Linked DNA regions of Rattus norvegicus. The protein of the gene in region 1 purifies or fractionates together with the protein of each later gene. This does not show direct contact. Links are inferred from orthologs where the notes say so. Each region holds a gene or a part of one and is shown in the gene's direction. Other genes may lie near its edges.

Region 1 (11,094 bases):
TTTAGAAAGAGGTGGGTTTCTATGTGGACTTGTGGTGGTTTCAGAATGGCCCACAATGGTTCATATATTTGAATGTTTGGTTCCCCGTGGATGAACTGGTTGAGAGTTAGAAGGTATTATAATGGGACCCCAGATCTTAGCACAACTCCATGAATGATGCAAGTGCCATTCAGACACGGAGACAGAACCACCTTCCAAAACTAAAAGGAACCCATCAAAGTCCATAGTTCTGGGAAAATCCCAAAATGTGCTAACCTTGCTTTTGGCTTCTGTAGTTCTGCTTCTGGCTAACCGTTCTTGCTAATTGAAGTGTGTTAACTCAGAACATGGATTTTATGCTTAAAAGCTCACCCTGAGGAGAGCTCAGACCTCTCCTGGGATCCTGATCCCAACACTTAACAGCTGTACACTGGCGAATGAAGACTTTCTATTGGCTTAACTCATGTCCGAGCAGTCTTCTCTGGTGACTAGCCCATAGCAGCAGGACTTGTTGGAGGATGTGTGTCACTGCGGGAAAAACTGTGAGGTTTCAGAAGCCTGTGACGAGCTTCGTCCCATTCTCTACCTGCTACCTGTGGATCAGGATGTAAGCTGTTCTCTACTGCTCCAGGGCCATGGCTGCACCACACTCAACAAAATGATGGCCCTGGACTAACCCTCTGGAGCTAGAAGCGAGCCCCCAGTCACATGCTTTCTTATATAAGCTGCTTCGGTCATGCTGTCTCTCTACAGCACTAGAACAGGAGCTAAGGCAGTAGTTAAGGATCTCAAAATGGTGTACTGGATTCAAGGTGGGCCTTAAATCTGACGGCGAGTATCCTTATTAGTGGATACAGAAGAGAAGAAAGCAGCCGTGTGAAAATGAATGGAGAGTTTTTATATTACCGTCAGCCAAGAATTACTCAGGCCAGGAAGGATTTTTTTCCCTCTAACATCTTCGAAGTTGAGTGGCTCTGACAACACTGATTTTGGACACCCCACCTCCAGGACAGAAAAAAGTTCTGTTGTTTTGGGTCACTGAGGATGTACTATGGCGTCTGTGATGGTTTGAATAAGCTTGGCCCAGGGAGTGGCGCTATTAGGAGGTGTGACCTTGTTGGAGTGGGTGTGTCACTGTGGCTTTAACACAGTCATCCTAGCTGCCTGCAAGCCAGTATTCCACTAGCAGCCTTCAGAGGAAGATGTAGAACTCTCAGCTCCTCCTGCACGATGGCTGCCAGGATGCTGTCCTGCTCCCACCTTAATGATTATGGACTGAACCTCTGAACATGTAAGCCAGCCCCAATTAAATGTTGTCCTTATAAGAGTTGCCTTAGTAATGATGTCTGTTCACAGCAGTTAAACCCTAAGACAGTGAGTGTCATTTGTCGTGGCAGCCATAGGAAGTATGAAAGTAAGTTTGTTTTTTATTTTATTTTATTTCCCTTTTTAGACAGGGTCTATGTAGCCTTGGCTGTCCTGGAACTCGCTCTGTAGGACTAGACTGGCCTCAAACTCCGAGATCCGTCTACTCCTGCCTCTGGAATGCTGGGTAAAAGGTGTATACCACCAAGCTCGGCAAGACACTTTTGTTAAACAAATCTATAACAATCTAATCTTTTTTTAAAGATTTATCTATTTTATATTGAGTACACTGTAGCTGTCTTCAGACACACCAGAAGAGGACATCAGGTCCCATTACAGATGGTTGTGAGCCACCATGTGGTTGCTGGGAATTGAACTCCTGACCTCTGGAAGAGCAGTCAGCGCTCTTAACCACTGAGCCATCTCTCCAGCCCTATAACAATCTAATCTTAGGGGTTGGGGATTTAGCTCAGTGGTAGAGCGCTTGCCCTGGGTTCGGTCCCCCAGCTCCGAAAAAAAAAAAAAGAAAGAAAGAAAAAAAAAAAACAACAACAACAATCTAATCTTAATCAAAATTGAACAATAAATTTACTGTAAAATCTGAATGGAAAAATAAAACCCCATGAATATTAGACAAACTAGTGCACTGACAATTCTGGAATTTTGATCTCTAAAATAAAAAACATGGAAATATTACAAGAATGTGCTTTCTTTTTAATCCCAGGTGTGGGATATGGGGCCGTTTCAGACTGTCCACAGCAGTTGACTATGATTTGCCTCTTGCTCTAGCAGAGGCGTTGTTTTGTCTGCTGCAGATAGAATTCTGGGAGATTTTTCAGAGGCTATATAAATGCTACGGCCCAAAGAGGCAGGGTTGGTGGTTGGTGATTGGTTGCTAGTAGTTACGCTTAAAGAAGAAACAAAAGAAAAAAGAAATTAGATTCAGAGTCCTTCATCCTTCTTTATCTCCTCTCTAGTCATAGGGGGTGAAACCAAGAGCAGGGGGATAGAGGGTGGGGGGAAAAAGAATGCACAAAATAACAAAGACCTGTTACAAACTAGCTTTGGAAAAATAGAAAATGTTTGCCCTGTTAGATATATCAAGGTACACCACAACACTGACATAAATGTAGTCTGTATCGGTATAAGCACTGCTTTCTTTTTCCCTTTGGATTTTTCAAGGCAAGGTTTCTCTGTAACCCTAGCTGTCTTGGAACTCACTGTGTAGAACAGGTAGGCCTCAAAGTCAGAAAGCCATCTGCCTCTGCCTCTCTGCGCCTCTGCCTCTCTCTCTGCCTCTCTCTGCCTCTGCCTCTCTCTCTGCCTCTCTCTGCCTCTCTGCCTCTCTGCCTCTCTACCTCTCTACCTCTCTGCCTCTGCCTCTCTCTCTGCCTCTCTCTGCCTCTGCCTCTCTCTCTGCCTCTCTCTGCCTCTCTGCCTCTCTGCCTCTCTACCTCTCTACCTCTCTGCCTCTGCCTCTCTCTCTGCCTCTCTGCCTCTCTGCCTCTCTGCCTCTGCCTCTGCCTCTGTTTCCTCTGCCTCTGTTTCCTCTGCCTCCTCTGCCCCTTGAGTGCTGGGATTAAAGGCCTGCAACTGGCGTTTTGTATAAGCACTTTGAACAGGAGACTAGAAGAGAGAGCTCAGAAAGAGACAGGTGTAAATATGGAAACTTATTATACACAAAAGTGGTCTTGAAAACCACTGAGAAAAGGAGGTCTCGGACGTGCCACTGACAGAAATGGGTGGCCTACATAGGAAAGCAAAGCTGTCAACGCCACTCAGCAGCAGATGCTTCTGAGGTGAATGCTAGGCCTCACAAACCAATAAAGGATGAAGAGCCTCAGTGGAGACGTGGGTAAAAAACACAAACGAGCAATTAAAAAATAAAGTCTCTGTGTGTGTGAGAGGAGGGATGTGTGTGTGTAGGAAGCTCAGAGAACAAATTGAGGCAGTCACTCATCTATCCTGTGGGTCAGATCCTCAGGCTTCGTGACAGGTGTCTTTACCAACGAATCCCTCTTGCCCACCCCAAATAAAAGCAATTACACACCTGCGAAGAGGGGCGGGAGAGACGGCTCCGCGGTTAAGAGCACTGGGGGAGGGTGCACAGACATCCATGCAGGGAGAGACATCCCCATACACATATAATAAAAACATAGAAGTGACTTTAAATTAATTTTAAATGCCTATGAAAAGATGAGCCAGCCTAATAGTAGTCAGAAAGTGAAAAAAATAAGCCAAAACAACATGTACATAGTTCAGACCTGCAAATTTTAGAAAGCAGACTAATGGTTGTCACTATACGCATTGTCTGTGGGAACGTCAATGGCTACATGATTTGCAAGAGCCATTCGGTCCAACTGGACCGTGTTTATTCCTATCTAGTAACTCTGGAGCAGACACACAAGCCAAAGAAGTTCTCATCCGGGTTTTTAAGGGGAAGATGTATAAAGATGGCCATTCCTGGGGGAGGGGAGAGATAAATGCAGATGCCTGGCTGGGAGGACAGTGATGGATTCCACACGCACTGGTCCAGAGGATGGATCTTAGCAACCACAGCCTCTGAGGCTGTCTGCACACATTAATATGTGATGGGATGAGGGCAGATTAAGGAGGACTGGGCAGGTAGCCATGGGGACAATATACAGAGGCATACAATTATTTCTGAATGGTGATATTATGAGTGACTGTAATGTTACTTTTTATAGCTTCCTCAATAATCTGTATTACATTAATCAGAAAAAAAAAGCCATGAGACAGGGTTCAGAACCTCCTGAGGAGTTCAGTTATTACCTTAATTATTTATTAGTCATTCCGTTTTCTATTTCCAGACTTAGTACTGGTGAATTATTTCTAGAAATAACTTACTTTTTCTAAGATATCAAGTGGTTAATTATATGCAACATTTAAATCACCATAGAAACTCATACGCCATCATTTCTTTCTTATGTTGAATCGTTTTCCTCCTGAGGATATTCTGAACAACTTAAAAACAAGTTATAAATTATTCACTTGGCTTAGAGTACATAAAGAATCTCCAGATATCATGCAAAAATAAATTCCATATAACAAGTTTCATTTTTATACAGTAATAGATTCACATATTTTTCACGATATCTAGAAATTCTGGCTGGAGTACTCAAAGTTCTGGTGTGAGGGTTGAGTGAGTTAATGCAAGGTAAGGCGCTGCCTATACCTGTCACACAGTAAACGTGTAAACTTTGCAACTATGATCGTTAAAATTGCTAAAGTGATTGCCTTTGCTTCAAACTCTTTAAAACGAATCAGCTGGGGTTGGGGAATTTAGCTCAGTGGTAGAGCACTTGCCTAGCAAGCGCAAGGCCCTGGGTCCCCAGCTCCGAAAAAAAAAAGAAAAAAACCAACCAACCAACCAACCAAACAAACAAACAAACAAACAAAAAACCCGAATCAGCTATTGGTTCAACTGGACCAGTCCAATTGTGTTTAATTTTTATTAATTTTCGCTTATATCTTTTTTTTTAAAGATTTATTTATTTATTATATATAAGTACACTGTAGCTGTCTTCAGATACACCAGAAGAGGGCATCGGATCTCTTTACAGATGGTTGTGAGCCACCATGTGGTTGCTGGGAATTGAACTCATAACCTCTGGAAGAGCAGTCGGGTGCTCTTAACCGCTGAGCCATCTCTCCAGCCCAATTTTCGCTTATATCTTAATGTTCAGGCTTTCTTGTTTTCGGATCAATGCATTTAAAGAGATGTTTTCCCCAGGGTATTGCTTTCACATCGTCTCACTCACCGTGACTTGATAACTAAAGATGATGATGTAAATAGGGCACTCAATACTGATTCATTAGCTTACACATTCTTCTGTCTCCTGTTCTCCTGGGCCAACCCACATTTGTTTTTTGAGACAGGGTGTCTCCGAGTCCTGGCTGTCCTGGAGTTAGTTATGTACTCCAGGCTGGCCTCAAATACAGAGAACTTTCTGCCTCTGCTGGGATTAAATCCGGTGCTAGGATTAAAGTCTGGCATCAACACACCGAGGGTAATGCTTATCTGTACTTGGCACAAAGCCACCTTCCTTACTCTTCCCGCCCTTCAGGGGAGGTGTCTGGCGTGACTCCACCCCTCCACACGCCTCCCGGTTCCCATGACACCACGCAGGCACTGTAAACACGTGCGGTAACTTCTTACGTCTCCTTCCGCTGTTCTGAAGCAAGTCTCGGCTGCAGTGGGGAGGGGCGGGGAATAGTCCCTTGGCAACCGAGTTCCGCTCCGGAGGGGGCAGGAAGGGGCGGGCCTAAGGGCGGAAGGAACCGGAAACCGCTCTTTCTGCGGTAGGACTGGGTGATGCGCCTCCGGGAGGCGGGCCCAGGCGTGCGGAGGGATCCGTGGCTGGCCGCGGCGGCGCTCCGCCTCCTCTCAGGCAGGCTTGGCGGCGCGGGCGGCAGTTGCTGTGGTTTCGGTGCTGAGGTGGCTGTGTGTTCACCGAGGCTTGCGGATCCGCCGCTTCCCGCCGTCAGTGGCTGCAGCTCAGTGTCCTTCCTTCGGACCGGCGGCACCCTCTCTCTTTCGCCGTTCGGTTCCGATTTCCAGTCCCGGGCCTAGGGCGGCTGCGGGGCCGCGGCTGGCGAGATGTTCAAGAACACGTTCCAGAGCGGCTTCCTCTCCATCCTCTACAGCATCGGCAGCAAGCCCCTGCAGATCTGGGACAAAAAGGTGAGCGATGGGGCGGGGTGTGGGCGGGGCACTCGCCGCCCACGAAATGGTGTGGCTACTGAGCCTCGGCTTCCTGGTCAGTAGAATGGGTGCAGGGTCCACAGCCTAGCTTGAAACGCATAGTCCTTTGATGAAAGACATGCATGTGTTCGCTGATACCAGGCATTGTGCTGCCCTCTAGACAGAGGGCCTCTTTCCCGGGCATCCTGAGCACCGGCCAAGCCAGAGGTGTTCCGGTCTCATTCATTAGCCCCCTCCATTTCATTGACCGCCGATAGCCTGACCTTTGGAACTTGGCTGCGAGCTTTCTTTAACTTAGAGTCCGTACTGTTCCTCCTGTACCGGCTTTCTCCGAAAACTGCACAAAGGTGATTGTTAGAGGCTTCTCAAGAGCCGCAAGTGCAGACCCAGTGTCAAGCCTCCGTATTTTTATCTAGCCGTCCTCTGGAATGGATGGTATCTTCGTTTGCCACATGAGATGGTGGCCTTCCCTGCTCACTTTTGGAGATGTTAAGAGCTAGCAGAAATGCCTTGGCGTTTCTTTTCTCGTGAAGATTCGTTTTTTTTTTTTTTTAAATACAAAGTGGGCACTCTAATGCGGAAGCCAGGTGATTTAGGGAGTAGCTTTAGTTCTGCCCTCGGCGGGGGAAGATGGAGAGAGGTGGTGTTCATAGAGATGTATATAGAATGGGTGGAATAAGTCAAGATTATTGTTAGTGGAACGAGAACAATGCAGTGTCTTTCCTAATTCACAGAGGAGGGCTTTGAGGCGCATAGTGGTTGACAGAGTACCTGACTTGCCTTCAGCTTGTCACTGCTAGAGAGTCGTGTGTTCTGAGGACAGTTTTGAGAGAAGCCTGTTGGAAGTATCGTGTCATTTGGCCAAGTCAGTTGAGAGCTCAACAAGATCTGGCCTTTGGTACGTGAGCAGTCTGACCAACTCTTTCAGATCCATAGCCAGAGTTATGTCAAGAGTATGGCGTAGGAAGCAGACCCTTAACTTCCCCCATTCTCCTGAGTGTTTATTCATTTTGAAATGAAGCATCAGGAGTTCTTAAATCAGACCTCTGCACCGAGAACCCAGAGCAAGTCCACCTGGCAGTGTTTGGAGGAGGATGCTCACCAGCTTGGTATCTGGACAGTTACGATGGGAGAGAAGTGTCGAAGCTTCTCTCAGAGGCATTCATTTCCCCCCTGGTTTTGATCTGAGATGTGGTTTATTTTTTTTTTTCAAGCCCGACTTTTTGACTGGTCACCATGTTTACACATGGCAGAGAAAGCAGAGTAACCATGGTGCGCTCGCTGTGTCCCTTAACAACGCCTCTAAAGGGCCAATGGTACCCTGATGACATAAACACGTAAGAAACATTGTTGGAGCAGAGTTACATGGAGCAAATTAAACAGACATTTTGGAAAGAAATTAGTTATGTTTCCAACTCTTGTTTGGATTTGACAGACTTAGCATTTAAGGGAGAGGTTTTCTCCAGTTGAAGCAAGAGGAGGCAAGGATGGAGGGGAAGTTCGGCCTCCAGGTTAGCTTTGCTGTGTTCAGGCCTTTCCTGAGTTAAGTTATGAAGTTCCCAGTAACTGGGAACAGTCCAGTCAAGGAGACCCTGGGAACTGGTCATGTTTATCGATCATGTTTATCAGGGATTTACTGAGCAACACCTGAGTGACAGGCATTGTCTACGGATACAGAATTGAGGGGGAACTGCCCTTTTCCTGAGAAGTAAGGTCTGGTTGTAGGGTAGAGGATGATAGGGCTGTCTGTTACCTACACGTGGCTTGGCCCTTTGCCAGTAGACACTACACACTGACTGAGGACTATTTTGGGTTCCATTTTGATATCACAAATATTTACTATTCTGACTTTTGCATTTGTGCACAGAGAGAATGCCTACTTGGCTTCCATAAAACAACAATCTTGAAGGATTGGGTATAGCATCTGCTTAGGCTTCTGAAATTAAGACGGTGCAGTCATCGTCCCTTGGCTTTTCCTCTCCCAAACCTCTAATGGCTGGCATCTGTCTAACTAGTTGTCCAGGCTCACTCACTGGCCCCTCCTTAGAAACAGACTCCTGCATGTGAAGGCCATGAAGCTCTCTGCAGTGTAAAACCTCCCGCACTGGTTGGTGCTGGCTTTCACCCCAAGTCCACCCACATCTTCCTTGGTCTCCGGCTCAGTGCAGAGGAAGCAGTACCTCTGGTGCTGCCTTGGCCCTGCAGGCTCAGTTTGTCAGCTCCCAGCCTCTGCATCCTCCTTGTCACGCTGGGACTTACTTAAGATCTGAGACAAATCTTTATTGGTTTTCAGACCAAGAGCTCAGAAAGAATCAACAGGCTCTTATAAATTTATTTTTTTAAGATTTTATTTTATTGTATATGAGTACACTGTAACTGCCTTCAGATGCACCAGAAGAGGGCATCAGATCTCATTACAGATGGTTGTAAGCCACCATGTGGTTGCTGGGATTTGAACTCAGGACCTCAGGAAGAGCAGTCGGTGCTCTTAACCACTGAGCCATCTCTCCAGCCCCCTCAACAGGCTCTTTAATGTTGCTTGACTTCTGGAACCACCAGATCCGACTGTCGTTATTAAGAATGTTAGGGCTGGGTGGGTACAGCTTTAATCCCAGCACTGAGGAGGCAAGGGCAGAGGAGTCTCTGAGTTTGAGTCTAGCCTGGTGAATACAGCGAGTCCTAGGGTGACTAACCAGGGTGACCTAGTGAGTTATTGTCTCAAAACAAAAATAAAAAACAGAGTGTTCCTCATCCTGCACTGTACTGCATGAGCTTCAGTCCTCTTTGCTGCTGCGCTGGAAGTCCATGGGACTGGCTTGTGTTGCTACTAGAAGCCCATCAGACTGATTTGTGAGTTCTGCTCTCTCTTCTCTCCTCCCAGCTGCTGATGTTTCTCCATGGAATGTGACTTTATCAGAGTCTGTTGTTGATCTTGTTAAGTGGTCATGATGCCTGGGTCCCTGTTTCTCATTTTAGGAAAGAATAAAGTCCCTCTCCAAAGTTTAAAAAAAAGTCACTACATTTTTGTTTAGTGTGTGTGTGTGTGTGTGTGTGTGTGTGTGTGTGTGTGTGTGTGTGTGTGTACATGTTCTTGCCTATGCCCACAGAAGTCAAAGAACCAGTTATAGGAGTTAGGAGTCAGTTCTTTCCTTTCACCATGTGGGTTCAAGAATTGAACTCAGGACATCAGACTTGGCTGCAATAAGGTTTATCTTACTTACTTTGCTGGCCCTAGACTCTGACTTTTAATTTAATAAATCTTGTTGATATGTGCTAAATCTATCTGGCCTCCATGAATGGAACTGAGTGTCTTTGGATAGAAAGAGTAAAATGATTTTCACTTTCCAAGGCTGTCTTTATTTTTATGAATAATATCTTTTACTGTAACAGGATGGAAACAGTGGGTTCCGTTTACTTGTGCCCTTTCAAGAAACACTATGAACAAGGTGCTGCTGGTGCTCACCTTTAATCCCAGTAGGCAGGTGGATCTCCGAGAGTTTGAAGCCATCCTGGTCTACAGAGTGAGTTCCAGGACAACCAGGGGTACAGAGAAACCCGGTCTGGAAAGAAAGAGGGAGAGAGAAAGTGAGGGAGTACAAGAGAGGAAGAAAGGAAGGAAGAGAAAGAAAGACACACTGTGGTACCCAGATTAGCTAAAGGGATCATTTGCATGTGTCTGGAGCTGCCTGTCGTGTGTTAGTACTTGTAAAAGTACTGCAGGTGGAGAGCAGCCCAAGGTCCCTGCGGCTGAGCTCTGACCACAGTTTCCCACAGAGGGCTCCCTCTCCCTGTTTTCTGACTTGGAGCCAGGTCCCTGGCCCTGGGCACATACTTCCTGCTGCAGGAGACAGCTTTAGGGGCTTAATGTAAGTCGGGACATGTGTCAGTAAGAGGACATGCCAGATGGCTGAGGTTTCAGCTGCAGAGTGAGTGAGTGCAGCCAGAAAATGAAAGTGGGGGAGGCGGGCAGAGGGAATGGTGCAGCTAATGTGTTATTTTTGAATCACTCTGTAGAACTGTGGAGATTGGCCAGCTTCCTCCCTATCCCTGTAGTATTATTTTTCCCTCATCTTGACCCTCTTCCCTAGGGCTTACACAGAGAAGGGGGAAGATCAGTGTTCTTTATTAGTTGCCCAGCAACCATGAAGAGCCTGGGAGAATGACTGAGATGAGCTGAAGGTTTGCTCCCCTGGTGTCTGGAATCCGAGGATCACTCTCGTCTCTAATTGCCAGTGCCTTGGGTTCAAAAGCTGCCATATACTTTGTGTGTAGGATGATGGGCCAAGGTGCACAGGGATGAATAAGAATACAATATAATAACGTTTACATATGTCATTATGAAGTCCATTCATTTTCTTCCTTTTTTGGGTTCTCATGAGTAGTGTGTGTGTGTGCATGCATATGTGTGGGGTGTATGTGCTGACGTGTTTGCTTGTGGAAGCTGGAGGTAGACATAAGCTGGCTAGGTATTGAACCCAGACTGCCCATCCCCACCTCCCAGTGCTGGGGTTATAGGCAATGCATTGCCTTTCCCGGCTTACGTGGGTGCTGAGGATCCAAACTCAGATCTTAACAATGTGCCCAGACTGAACTGGAGTTAGAAGCCTAAGGTAGCGATCCTTCTGCCTCAGCCCCCTAAGTGCAGCCACTGTACCTGTTAAACCTGTTACTGTGCATGCTGATAATAATTTTGTTGCTTTTTAGCTGCTGTGGCAGAATAACTTAAGGTAAGAAAGTTATTGTTTGGCTCTTGGTCTAAGGAGAAAGTAGGAGTAGGGAGAAAGGTGTGGCCAAGTTCGTGGTAGCAGGGACAGGCATCTGGGACTCCACACCTATGAAGATCAGGAGTCAGTGAGCAGAGAATTTTGACACTAATCTTGCATTTCTTTTTTACTCTTTAAATCTTTTATTTATCTATATTTGATGTTCATTAGTTTGTTTATTTATTATTGTCCATTGGTTATCTCCACTTGGCGTTTTGCCTGCATGTATATCTGTGTGAGGGTGCCAATCCCCTGAAACCA
Region 2 (10,383 bases), on another chromosome or scaffold:
GCGTGACATCAGGTCCCTGCTGTCTTTGCCGCCTTTACCAGGGCTCTACCCACTCTGGGACCCATGCCCTTCATGCTAATTCTGACTTCCTTCGCAGGATGCTACGGAAAGACAAGGAGGAGGCAGAGGCCATCAAACATGCCAAGGCCCTGGAGGAGGAGAAAGCCATGTACTCGGTGAGGTCTGGGTAGGGTTGGGGGGGGGGGGGTTGTAAAAGTGTATCTCCAGGGAGGGCACACCCCTTACTGTCCTGGCACTCCCCACCTAGGGCCGTCGTTCACGGCGACAGCGAAGAGAGTTCCGGGAGAAGCGGCTGAGGGGCCGTAAGATTAGCCCTCCCAGGTAGGATTTCTCCCCTGGGCAACCCTCCTCAACTGCCAGGGGCTCAAAAGTGGAGCCTGGCCTCGACTTCAGCAAAACTGTGATGATGCACATGGTTGACAGCCAATAGAGCTAGGAGTAGCCTGGGAGGCCACCTGCCCCACCTTCCAGTCACCACCCTGCTGGACTGGGGACTCTTGGGGAGTGGAACAGGAGGCTGCTGGGGGTGGCTGGGGGAATTGTGGCCAGAACCTATGACCACCTGTGCTGGTCAGTGTCATGTCTACAGGGTCTAGACAAGTGACTCCATTCTAGCTATAGTTTTCTTCCACTGGGAAGTAGAGAGGCCTAGGCAGTCTTGAGAGAGGATTGGGTAGAGCAGATGAGGCTAGTGAAGACTCTGGGCCCGGGAGCCCAGGCATATGCCTGGTGAAGGGTCGGGAGTGATGGTGGTGTGCAGTGAGGGTAGCTGCAGGCCACAGGCCTGAGCTGGGACCTTGGCTCCTCACTAGGGATGGTGCCACCCTAGGAAGTCACTTGCCCTCACAGGGACTGTTTCTCCCGTATGAAGAGTGAATCCTCAGATTTGGGATAAGTCACTGAGTTAGGTTGGTCACTGTTTTCACGACAGCATTGATCTGGGACTGGTCATCATGGCTTCCAGTGCGGCATTGGAAGGCCAGGCAGGGCCAGGGCTGTCTGTTCTGGTTGCTGTTGCTCAGAGTCTCGTGCTGTAATAAGGAGACAGCTGTGTGGTCCCCATAATGAGATGGGGTGCACAATCTGCAGCACTGGAGTTCAGGGAGGGATAGGGCCAGCTTCACACCAGTCAGCCTGGTCCCAGCTCTCCTGTCCTTCCCTGTTCTCTCCGTAGTTATGCCCGCCGAGACAGCCCCACCTATGACCCCTATAAGCGGTAAGTGTCAGTGCCCTGGAAGACGCTGTCATTGATACTGACCTTTTGGCCATGCCTGTGGCAGATGGCATCCTGTGGTCTGTGGGTGGGGGTTGGGTCTTCATCAGTGTTTTTAAAATTCAGAATCTCTATTTTCTTCCAATGTTAACGTACAGACTTGTGATACAATCAAATATGACATAAAAGGACATGAATATTGGGTGTCTTTAACACAAGATTCCTAGAATTAGAAAGGCCAGGCACTGACAGGCTCCAGGGTGCAGTCCCGGGGTGTTGGGTTGTAGAGGGCAGTCCAGTCTAACTTCCCTCTCTCTTTCCTAAGGCCAGGGGGTGGGGCCTGGTGGGCCAGGGACCTTTTGTTGGCCTGCTTTTCCCTAAAGGGAAAACACTGGGTCCTGGGTCCGTATTTTATGGGATGGAATTAGTTGAGTTCCTCTCTAGGTTGACAGGAAGACCTCACTGTGTTTTGCTTCTGTTCTAGGACTGGAACCCAGGGTCTCTTGCATAGGCAAAGCCTTCTTTGCATTACACCTAGTCTTTCGTTTTTTAACTAGCACAGAAAGCCAGCCTTTTTTTTTTTTTTTTTTTTCTTTTGTTTGTTTTGGGTTTTGTGGTTGTTGCTTATTGAGACATTGAGACAAGGACTCTTATGTAGCCCTGGTTGTCCTGGAACTCTCTATGCTGGCCTCAAACTGAGATCTGCCGGCCTTAGCCTTCTCACTGCTGGGATTAAGGGTGTGTGCCACTACCCCTCCCTTCAAACCCCCCACCCCCCATTTTCTGAAAAATTACATTTATCAGTCTGGGTCGGGGTGGTGCACATGTGCCACAGGGCTGAAAATAAAAGGACAGCTTAGAGTCAGCTCTCGTTCTACCGTTTAGATTCTGGGATTGACCTGAGGTTTTCAGGCTTGGAGGCAAAAGCCTTACCTGCTGAGCCATCCCACCAGTCACAGACTTATTTAGTAAAAAAAATAAAATAAAAATTATATATATATATATATATACACACACACACACACACACACACACACACACATATATATATATTTATATTTTGAGACAAGGACTTTCTATGTAGCTCTTGACCTCGCAATGTATGTATACCATACACACACACACACACACACACACACACACATATATATATTTATATTTTGAGACAAGGACTTTCTATGTAGCTCTTGACCTCGCAATGTATGTATACCAGGCTAGACTTGAATTCATACATCCCACTAGGGCTCTGGTACAGCTGGGGCTCTGAATGCTGCCTCTCTTTTGCCCGCCCTCTGGCTGCAGGTCACCTTCGGAATCCAGTTCCGAGTCCCGCTCCCGCTCTCGCTCCCCGAGCCCAGGCCGCGAGGAAAAAATCACTTTTATCACGAGTTTTGGAGGCAGCGACGAGGAGGCAGCTGCAGCAGCTGCTGCAGCCGCCGCATCCGGGGCTGCCCCAGGGAAGCCCCCCGCGCCTCCCCAACCGGGTGGCCCCGCTCCAGGCCGTAATGCCAGCGCCCGGTCGGTAACGCTCGTGCCTGCCCTAGCTGACCGCCGGGTGGAGGGACGGGCCCCCTAGGACGTTGTCGTTGACAAACCCCGTCCTCCCGCAGCCGCCGCTCCTCTTCGTCCTCCGCCTCCAGGACCTCCAGTTCCCGATCCAGTTCGCGCTCCAGCTCGCGCTCCCGCCGTGGCTATTACCGTTCTGGCCGCCACGCGCGCTCTCGCTCCCGCTCCTGGTCCCGCTCGCGCTCCCGTTCCCGGCGCTATTCCCGCTCCCGCAGCCGTGGACGACGGCACTCAGACGGTGGTTCCCGCGACGGACACCGCTACTCACGCTCGCCAGCCCGGCGCAGCGGGTACGCGCCCCGCCGAAGGAGCAGGTCTGTGATAGCGACGGGGCAGGAGCGGGTACTGGGGAGGCGGGCTGTGGACAGACCAGGCCAGCCCTCTTCTCTTGGGAAGCACGTGATTGGAAGAAGGACGGGGTGGGTACCCAAAGTATGGGGCGGGGCATGGAGGTATCTCCTTGGCTTTTGCTTGAACTTCCCGGTCTACAGGACCTGGGAACCTCGTGGGCAGGGCAACATCCTTTGAAGAAGAGGGAGGGTTCCCAGGGGACAGAGGAGCGTGGGCTGTAGCTGTTTTTAAGTTTGGTTGGGGAAAGCAGCAGTGGGGAGTTTGTATAGGGCCAGGCTTAGTGACACAGCTGGAATTTCTTTGTAGAACAGACACAGCTATGGGGCCATCAGTCATTAATGGCTAGGCGAGCCGTCATTTTTCTGTTGCTCTCAGGAGGCTGAACATGCATGTTACCAGACTGAGTATGCACTCAGAACTGAAGACGAGTACTAATCAGCCTAGGGAGATTCATTAATTATGTGCTTGGAAAATGGCTTCTGGGTCTTTCCTGTAGCATGACCACAGGGGAACGGCGGCAGGGGTGGGGTGGGGTAGGGCAATCACAAATTGAATGCCAGCCTGGGGTGACTACTTTCTTGAGAATACTACTAGTGCTCCTAGAAGGGAAACCCTGGGCTGTGCAACTGATGCAGAACCTGTAGATTGGTGTGGAGCAAAGTGGATTTGGAAATTGGGGTGACTCCCTGTAGGTCCCTGGAGCCTCACAGCCCTCCTCCTCCTGTTACACCTAGGAGCCGCTCCCGTTCAGGTGACCGCTATAAGCGGGGTGCCCGGGGCCCCAGGCACCACAGCAGCAGTCATAGCCGCAGCAGCTGGTCCCTCAGCCCTTCCCGAAGCCGCAGTCTGACCCGGAGTGGAAGCCGAAGCCAGAGCCGGAGCAGAAGCCGCAGCCAGAGCCACAGCCAGAGCCAGAGTCACTCGCCATCGCCCCCAAGGGAGAAGCTGACCAGGCCAGCAGCATCCCCTGCTGTGGGCGAGAAGCTGAAAAAGTGAGTTAGGGGCCTGGCTGGTGCTGAGGGACCCCCCCTCAGTTTATTTTGAAGGGAATGTAGCAGTATCCTGGCAATTCTGGGAGGTGTGTGCACTGCAGGGGGGGGTCAGGGCCATCATGGCCTTGGCTTGAGTAGGCTGTCAGGGATGTGGTCCTGCCTAGGTTATAAGGGTTAGAACATATCCTGAGGAGTCTGGAGCTCATGGCTGATGCCAGTCCTGAGGCTTATGGTAAAAGTGGCATTGCCATTTTCTCTCAAAACCCAGGACCGAACCTGCCGCTGGTAAAGAGACAGGAGCTGCCAAAGTCAGTAAGAATTTGGAACTCGCCCGTCTAATTCCCGTCAGCAGCAGTGTCCAGAGCTGGGCCTGGTGGGCCTGCAGGGGGCCCAGGGGGAGGGGAGAGCCAGCCCAGGGACTGGGGAAGGGCTACCCAGGCAAACTAAGTCCCCTCCCTGCCTCCCATGGGGCTCCAGCTGACCCCTAAGTCCAGACTCTTGGCTGAGGTGGGCTGGGCGAGCTCTGGGCACCCACGCCTGTCCCGCCCCTTCTCCCGCAGCCCAAGCTGACCCCACAGGAGAGGCTGAAGCTGCGGATGCAGAAGGCTCTGAACCGCCAGTGTAAGTCCTGCCTTCAGTCCAGCTGGGGCTGTGGGAAGAGTGGGCTGACCTCTCTTGAGCCTGCCTGAGCAGGTCCAGTTGGTGTGGGGACTGTGAGCCCAGCCCTCAGCCTCACACCCTTTCTCCCTCCATCCACAGTCAAGGCGGATAAGAAGGCAGCTCAGGAGAAGATGATCCAGCAGGAGCACGAGCGGCAGGTCAGGCTGTGCTCGGATGGGCAGGGCATGCAGGTAGAGTGGGGGGCCGGACCACCCCTCATAGCTGTTTCTGCTGCAGGAACGCGAGGATGAACTGCGAGCCATGGCCCGAAAGATCCGAATGAAGTAAGGCTCCGACCTGTGGTCCACCCAGCCTCCTGTAGTTGGAGCCACCTTGGTCCTTTCACTGGTTCTGAAGCCCAACTACTGCTGTCCTCTTCCCCTGGCAGCCTGCCTGCCTGCCTGCCCGCCCTCCACATGCCCCAGGCCTTTACCTCCTGACCTCCCCATACCTGGCAACTGTCCTTTGGTGTCTGATGCCTAACAATTGGTGACGTGAAGCTGCCTGTGGCCAGTCTTGTGGCCCAAGAGCTTTTTCTTCTTCTCTTCTTTCTCTTCCTCCACTCTGTGTTGGGCCAGTCAGAGCCTGGGCCCACAGGCTTGGGATTTAGTTTCAGCTGTCTTAAGTCTGATCAGGTGGCTCTGGGGTGGGTACCTATCATCTTGGAGCCTCAAGTGGGCCATCCCCTCAGTGCCCACCAAACTAAGCGCTAGGATGACTACCTGAGGGTCTCTGTCAGAGCCTGGGCTGTTACACTGTGTATTGGCAAAGAGGGGAGCCGGTCAGGGATGGGGGCCTGCTCCTGACAGTTCTTTCTGCTTTGTGTCAAAGTAGAGGAACAAACATTTTGCTTTCTTGAGCTCAGTTGTCTTCCTCTGGAACAGTGGTGGGGATGGCTCCTATCTCTGTGGTAAGCCATGCCACCAACTGCTGTGGCACAGCCTGCTGCCCAGTGCCCAGGCCAGCTCCTGCTTGGTCATTTCTTTACAATATACATAATTTACATTTTTGTTTTTCTTTTGTGAGATAAGTGTTTCACAGTGTAGGTCTAGGTAGCCTGTAACTCACTCTGTAGCCCAGATTAGCTATGAATCTGTAGCAATCCTGCTTTGTCTTCCTAAGTGCTGGGATTACAGGCATGGAAGGCCGTGTTTATCTTGGTGTGAGAGGGAGAAGGGTGGAGAGAGAGAGAGAGAGAGAGAGAGAGAGAGCGTGAGTGCACATATCAGCCAGCCAGTGCACATGCATGTGCGTGGAGGCCAGGGGATAACTTGTGAATTGATAGCAGAACTCTCCAGCGTTGGACCTGGGGATGGAACTCGGGTTGTCATGCTTATGGCACAGTGTTTACTCTGAGCTGTCCTGTCACATGTGTGTGGCATGCTCATTGAGTGTCAGACACTGCTGTGGGGTAGAGCAAGAGCACAGGCATGGTATTTTCATGCCTGTACAATTCCACCAGATGATGATGAGTTCAAGACCAGTCCTAGCTGCGCTCACTACCTTCTCAAAGACAGAGCCCTAGAAGAGTCATTGGGGACTTTGCTCTGCTCTTTGGTCATGTTGGCTTCTGGCTCTTTCAGCCACTTTACCTCACCACCTGTCTGCATCAGCCATGTCCAAGCCTCACTTTAGGAATACGGTCCTTCTCACAGACCCCCTGGGAGAACAGGGCATAGACAAGGCTGCCAGGGTTCCCAGTCCTGCCTGTGGGGAGACAGTTGGCCAGCCCTCTACTGTGCTAGGCTTGGCTTTCCTGGTCTAGGTGGAGGTGTACAGCCCAGCAGGTGCTCACCCCTCCCTGTTGGTTGCCTCCCCTCTCCCCTTGCAGGGAGCGAGAGCGACGAGAGAAGGAGAGAGAAGAATGGGAGCGCCAGTACAGCCGCCAGAGCCGCTCACCCTCCCCACGCTACAGTGAGTGTTCCCCCCCACCCTTCCTGCAGTACCAGGGTAGGAGACCACTAGCAAGCAGCTCACCCCTGTGGTCCCAGCACTGAAGAGGTAGAGGCCAGCCTGGGTTACATGGAGAAATCCCCGCTTCAAATAAAAAGTTCACTTCCCCACCCCCCCAGTAAGACACCAGCACTGAGGTAGGAGGATGGCTAGATGATTTGGTATTTGGGAGCAACCTAGATTACAGAAAGACTCCACGGTACTATTTTCAAGTCTTTAACAGCCAGGTATTGTGGCACATCTCTAGGAAGGTACAAAGGCAGAGACAGGAAGCTCTCAGAGTTTGAGGCTAGTTAGGTCTACAATAGTAAGACCCTGGTCTCAAAACAAACAAAAAAACCAGTAAGACACTGCTTGAAGCATACAGACTGCATCTGTCCCTTTAGTGCTAAGAATGTGGGGGGGAGGGGCTTGATCCTGGCACAGAGATGTTTTGGCAAGGGTGAGGATGGCCCGTGGAGACTGGCTGGCATCACATCACCCTCCTTTTCTTTTCAGGTCGAGAGTACAGTTCTTCCCGCAGGTGAGGCTGATAGCCCAACCACCAAGGGTGACCCTCCAGCTCTTCTAGAAGTGCCCCGCGTCCCTCCTTTTGATACCCCCTCATTTGGTGGGGCTGTACCTGTTCCCTACGGAAGGCACTCCTCCCTCTGCACTGTCTCCAGGCCTGTTGGTGCATGTGTGGGTGCGAGGGAGGCTCCCAGCATCCCACCCTCATAGTCTTCCCCTTCTCTGCAGGCGTTCGAGGTCCAGGTCCCGAAGCCCCCATTACAGACATTAGGCAGAAGAAGAGTTGGGGGCTGTTATGCTGCTGGGTTTCTGTAGTGAAATAAAAGCTAACATTATTTAATGGACTTCGCCACATGCTGTCCTCTAATTTAGAACTTCCAGGCTGAAGACTGCTGCAGGTGCTGTAGGTAGCCTGCAGGGTGTGGTGAGTGAGGCCTGCAGGGGCAGGAGGAAGGGGCCAATCCAGTCAAAGGCCCAGACTATGGCATGTGTGGACAGGGCCAGTGGATGACGGGATAGGACTGGACTGGGCCCAGAAGCCTCTGGTGACAGGTCCAGGCCTCTCCCTGCCCCTGGCCTCACCCACACCAAGAACCGGGAGCACAGCTTTCTGTGCCAGTCCTCCAGTGCCCAGGGCACTTACCCCCCACTCCAAACCGGTCTGTCCAGCTGTCCACACTATGGAGGGAGCATCCCACCTCAGACACCCCAAGAAAGCCCAAGTCCAGGCACACGAATAAATAGGAGATGGTTTATTTACACAAAAGAATGGCTAAGTGCTGGCCGTGTCCTCTTGCTGAGGAACACCTGTCTGTACAGAACATCTCAGGCCATCTCCGGGTGCTTCTGCCTCAGGTGCTTGTCCAGCGTGGCCTGCAGGACAAAGGGTACGAGGCAGTGCGGGCACTTGTACACAGTCTTGCCAGTTCCCAGCCCGTGTGTGCGGCGGTGGCGGTTGAGCTTGCTGCTCTGGGCACAGGCATAGGAACACTGGTCACAGGTATAGGGCCGCTCGCCAGTGTGCGATCGCCGATGCACCGTGAGGTTGCTGCTGTTGGTGAAGGACTTCCCGCAGAACTCACACTTGCCCCCAGCCCGGTGACTCTTCCTGGGTGTTGTCTTCTCCATCTTTACAGAGTCCGTCCTCTCTACTTTGGCAGTGGCTCCACAGCCACCAAAACCTGGACTCTCTTGAGCCCCACTGCCAGGGGCCCCAGGTTCCTGAATTCCGGCTGTGGCGGCAGCTCCAGCCTTCTCCACATTCTGGCATGGGGGAGTGCTGGCTGGAGCAGCTGCATAGGCAGCTGGTTCAGGAGGGGCTGCTGGGGAGACTTCGCGGCTACTGGCAGAAGTGGAGGGGCTCCCAGGCGTTGGCTGCCGATGGGTCTTCTTGTGTCTGTTCAGCTTGCTGCTCTGAGCGCAGGAATAGGAACACTGGTCACAGGAGTAGGGTCGCTCACCAGTGTGGGAACGCATGTGGACCTTGAGGTTGCTGAAAGAGCTGAGGGTCTTCTTACACACGAAGCAGGTAGGGCTCCGCCGGGCAGCGCTACTCACTGAAGGGGGCTTGTCCTCAACTGGCCCCACCACTGCCACTGCTGACATGGCTGCAGCCACCTCAGCCAGGCCCAGCAACGGAGCCTCTGGGGTCTCCAATTGTTGTGTCTGGTAGATGCATAGCCCATGGTCCCACTGGGCGTGGCACAGCAACTTCCAAGCACTGGTGTACTGTCTGCCACATTGGAGGCAGCTCAGAGCCTTCAGCTCTTTGGATTCTGAAAGGGAAGGAAGGGGCAGTGAGTATCACCACAATAGGATGCTACATGACAGATGCTGCCCTCAGGGAACCTCCTGAAGTATAAACAGGTTTTAATATTTGTAGGGGTGGGGGGCACCAAGGTATTGGGGAAGCAGGGACAGAGGCTCAAAAAGTAGATCTTAATATGAAAGCCCAGAGCTGGGGCTTGGCACAGAAACAACACTAGGGGAGGTGGGCTGGTGTGTGGATTCCAAATTTGATGTTTTTCTAGGCTCATGGTGTCTATAGTGTCTACAGGACACTCCCCAGACCTATTAGACTTTGGATAGCCCAATCCCAGTCTGGACGGGGTGGCCTTTATGATACCACAGACCAAAACTAAACAGAGACCTGTCAAACTCAAGGCTTTTCCTCCCTAGCTGTGTAACCTTGGACTAGACCCTCTCTGCCCGCTTCCTAAGCTGCTAGAGTATGGGGAGTCTGAGTGGCCCTTCTAGGGCTGACCTCAAATAGGGAACAGCTGAGAGTTTTGGTCACCATAATAAGCCCTCAACTGTGAGCTGAGCCTCAGATAGCAAAATACCCACAGCTAAGCCAAAGGTGGTGACACACGCCTTTAATCCCACCACTGGGGAGGCAGAGGCAAGCAGATCTTTATTCAGTTGGAGGCCAGCCTGGTCTACAGAGTTCTAGGCCACTCAGGGCTACTTAGAAACCCAGTCTCACAAAACAAAGTACCCACAACTATCCAAGCCTATAATAACAGTAATAGTAGCTGCCTAGGCCAGGATGAGACCCTGTCTAAAATGTTAAATTCAGCAGAGACCCACACCAAGTGCCCACACGTCATTGCTGGAGTTGCTATTCAGGTGGACCCATCTTAGCCCCACCCTCAACCAAAGCTGATTGGATCCCAGCCCCAAATATAATTACATTTCCCAAGTTCCACCTGGGCACCACATGAGCTGGGGGCTGGAAATTCAAGTTCAGACCATATTTTAAAATCTCATAACAAGAGTTCACTGGACAGACACCACGCAGTCCTAATTCCTCCCCCACATACAACTCGAGTATGTAGCGCCCAGACCAGGGGCTTCCCAGCACTCTGCTGGGAGATCCCAGCAAGGGGAACAAGCCAGATGACCCTTCCCTGGTTCTGAACTGTCTAAACCTCAATGAGAAGGATCAAAACACAGTAGGTGTGGTACTCCCCAGGCCAATGTCCCATCCTCCACTAGGTCCCTACTGCCAACCCTGGTCCAGCCACCTGGTCAGTTATTTCTGTCCACGGGAAAGAAGAAGTGAAACTAAATTAGGGGTGTATGGCAAAACCCCGGGCCAGTCTTCTGGGGCTGGCC

The links.
Region 2: the proteins of Cfap20 (region 1) and Clasrp purify together in Homo sapiens (affinity purification with mass spectrometry; 3 studies listed by BioGRID and IntAct, counting the BioPlex papers as one, with this or other methods). This does not show direct contact. The link is inferred for Rattus norvegicus from reciprocal best matches to the Homo sapiens genes CFAP20 and CLASRP.

What each region holds. Positions count from the first base shown.
Region 1 is NC_086037.1:9,609,239-9,620,332, forward strand, and holds the start of Cfap20 (cilia- and flagella-associated protein 20), read left to right. Parts: upstream 1-5,739; 5' UTR 5,740-5,965; coding exon 5,966-6,049; intron 6,050-11,094. UniProt on the Homo sapiens protein: Cilium- and flagellum-specific protein that plays a role in axonemal structure organization and motility. Microtubule inner protein (MIP) part of the dynein-decorated doublet microtubules (DMTs) in cilia axoneme, which is required for motile cilia beating.
Region 2 is NC_086019.1:88,357,462-88,367,844, reverse strand, and holds the end of Clasrp (CLK4-associating serine/arginine rich protein), read left to right. Parts: intron 1-97; coding exon 98-176; intron 177-268; coding exon 269-342; intron 343-1,195; coding exon 1,196-1,237; intron 1,238-2,536; coding exon 2,537-2,752; intron 2,753-2,844; coding exon 2,845-3,114; intron 3,115-3,885; coding exon 3,886-4,143; intron 4,144-4,411; coding exon 4,412-4,451; intron 4,452-4,703; coding exon 4,704-4,764; intron 4,765-4,902; coding exon 4,903-4,961; intron 4,962-5,040; coding exon 5,041-5,087; coding exon of another isoform or gene 5,088-5,089; intron 5,090-6,612; coding exon of another isoform or gene 6,613-6,634; coding exon 6,635-6,717; intron 6,718-7,254; coding exon 7,255-7,279; intron 7,280-7,494; coding exon 7,495-7,537; 3' UTR 7,538-7,610; downstream 7,611-10,383. Other genes in the region: Zfp296 (zinc finger protein 296), read right to left, coding at 8,092-9,041. UniProt on the Homo sapiens protein: Probably functions as an alternative splicing regulator. May regulate the mRNA splicing of genes such as CLK1. May act by regulating members of the CLK kinase family.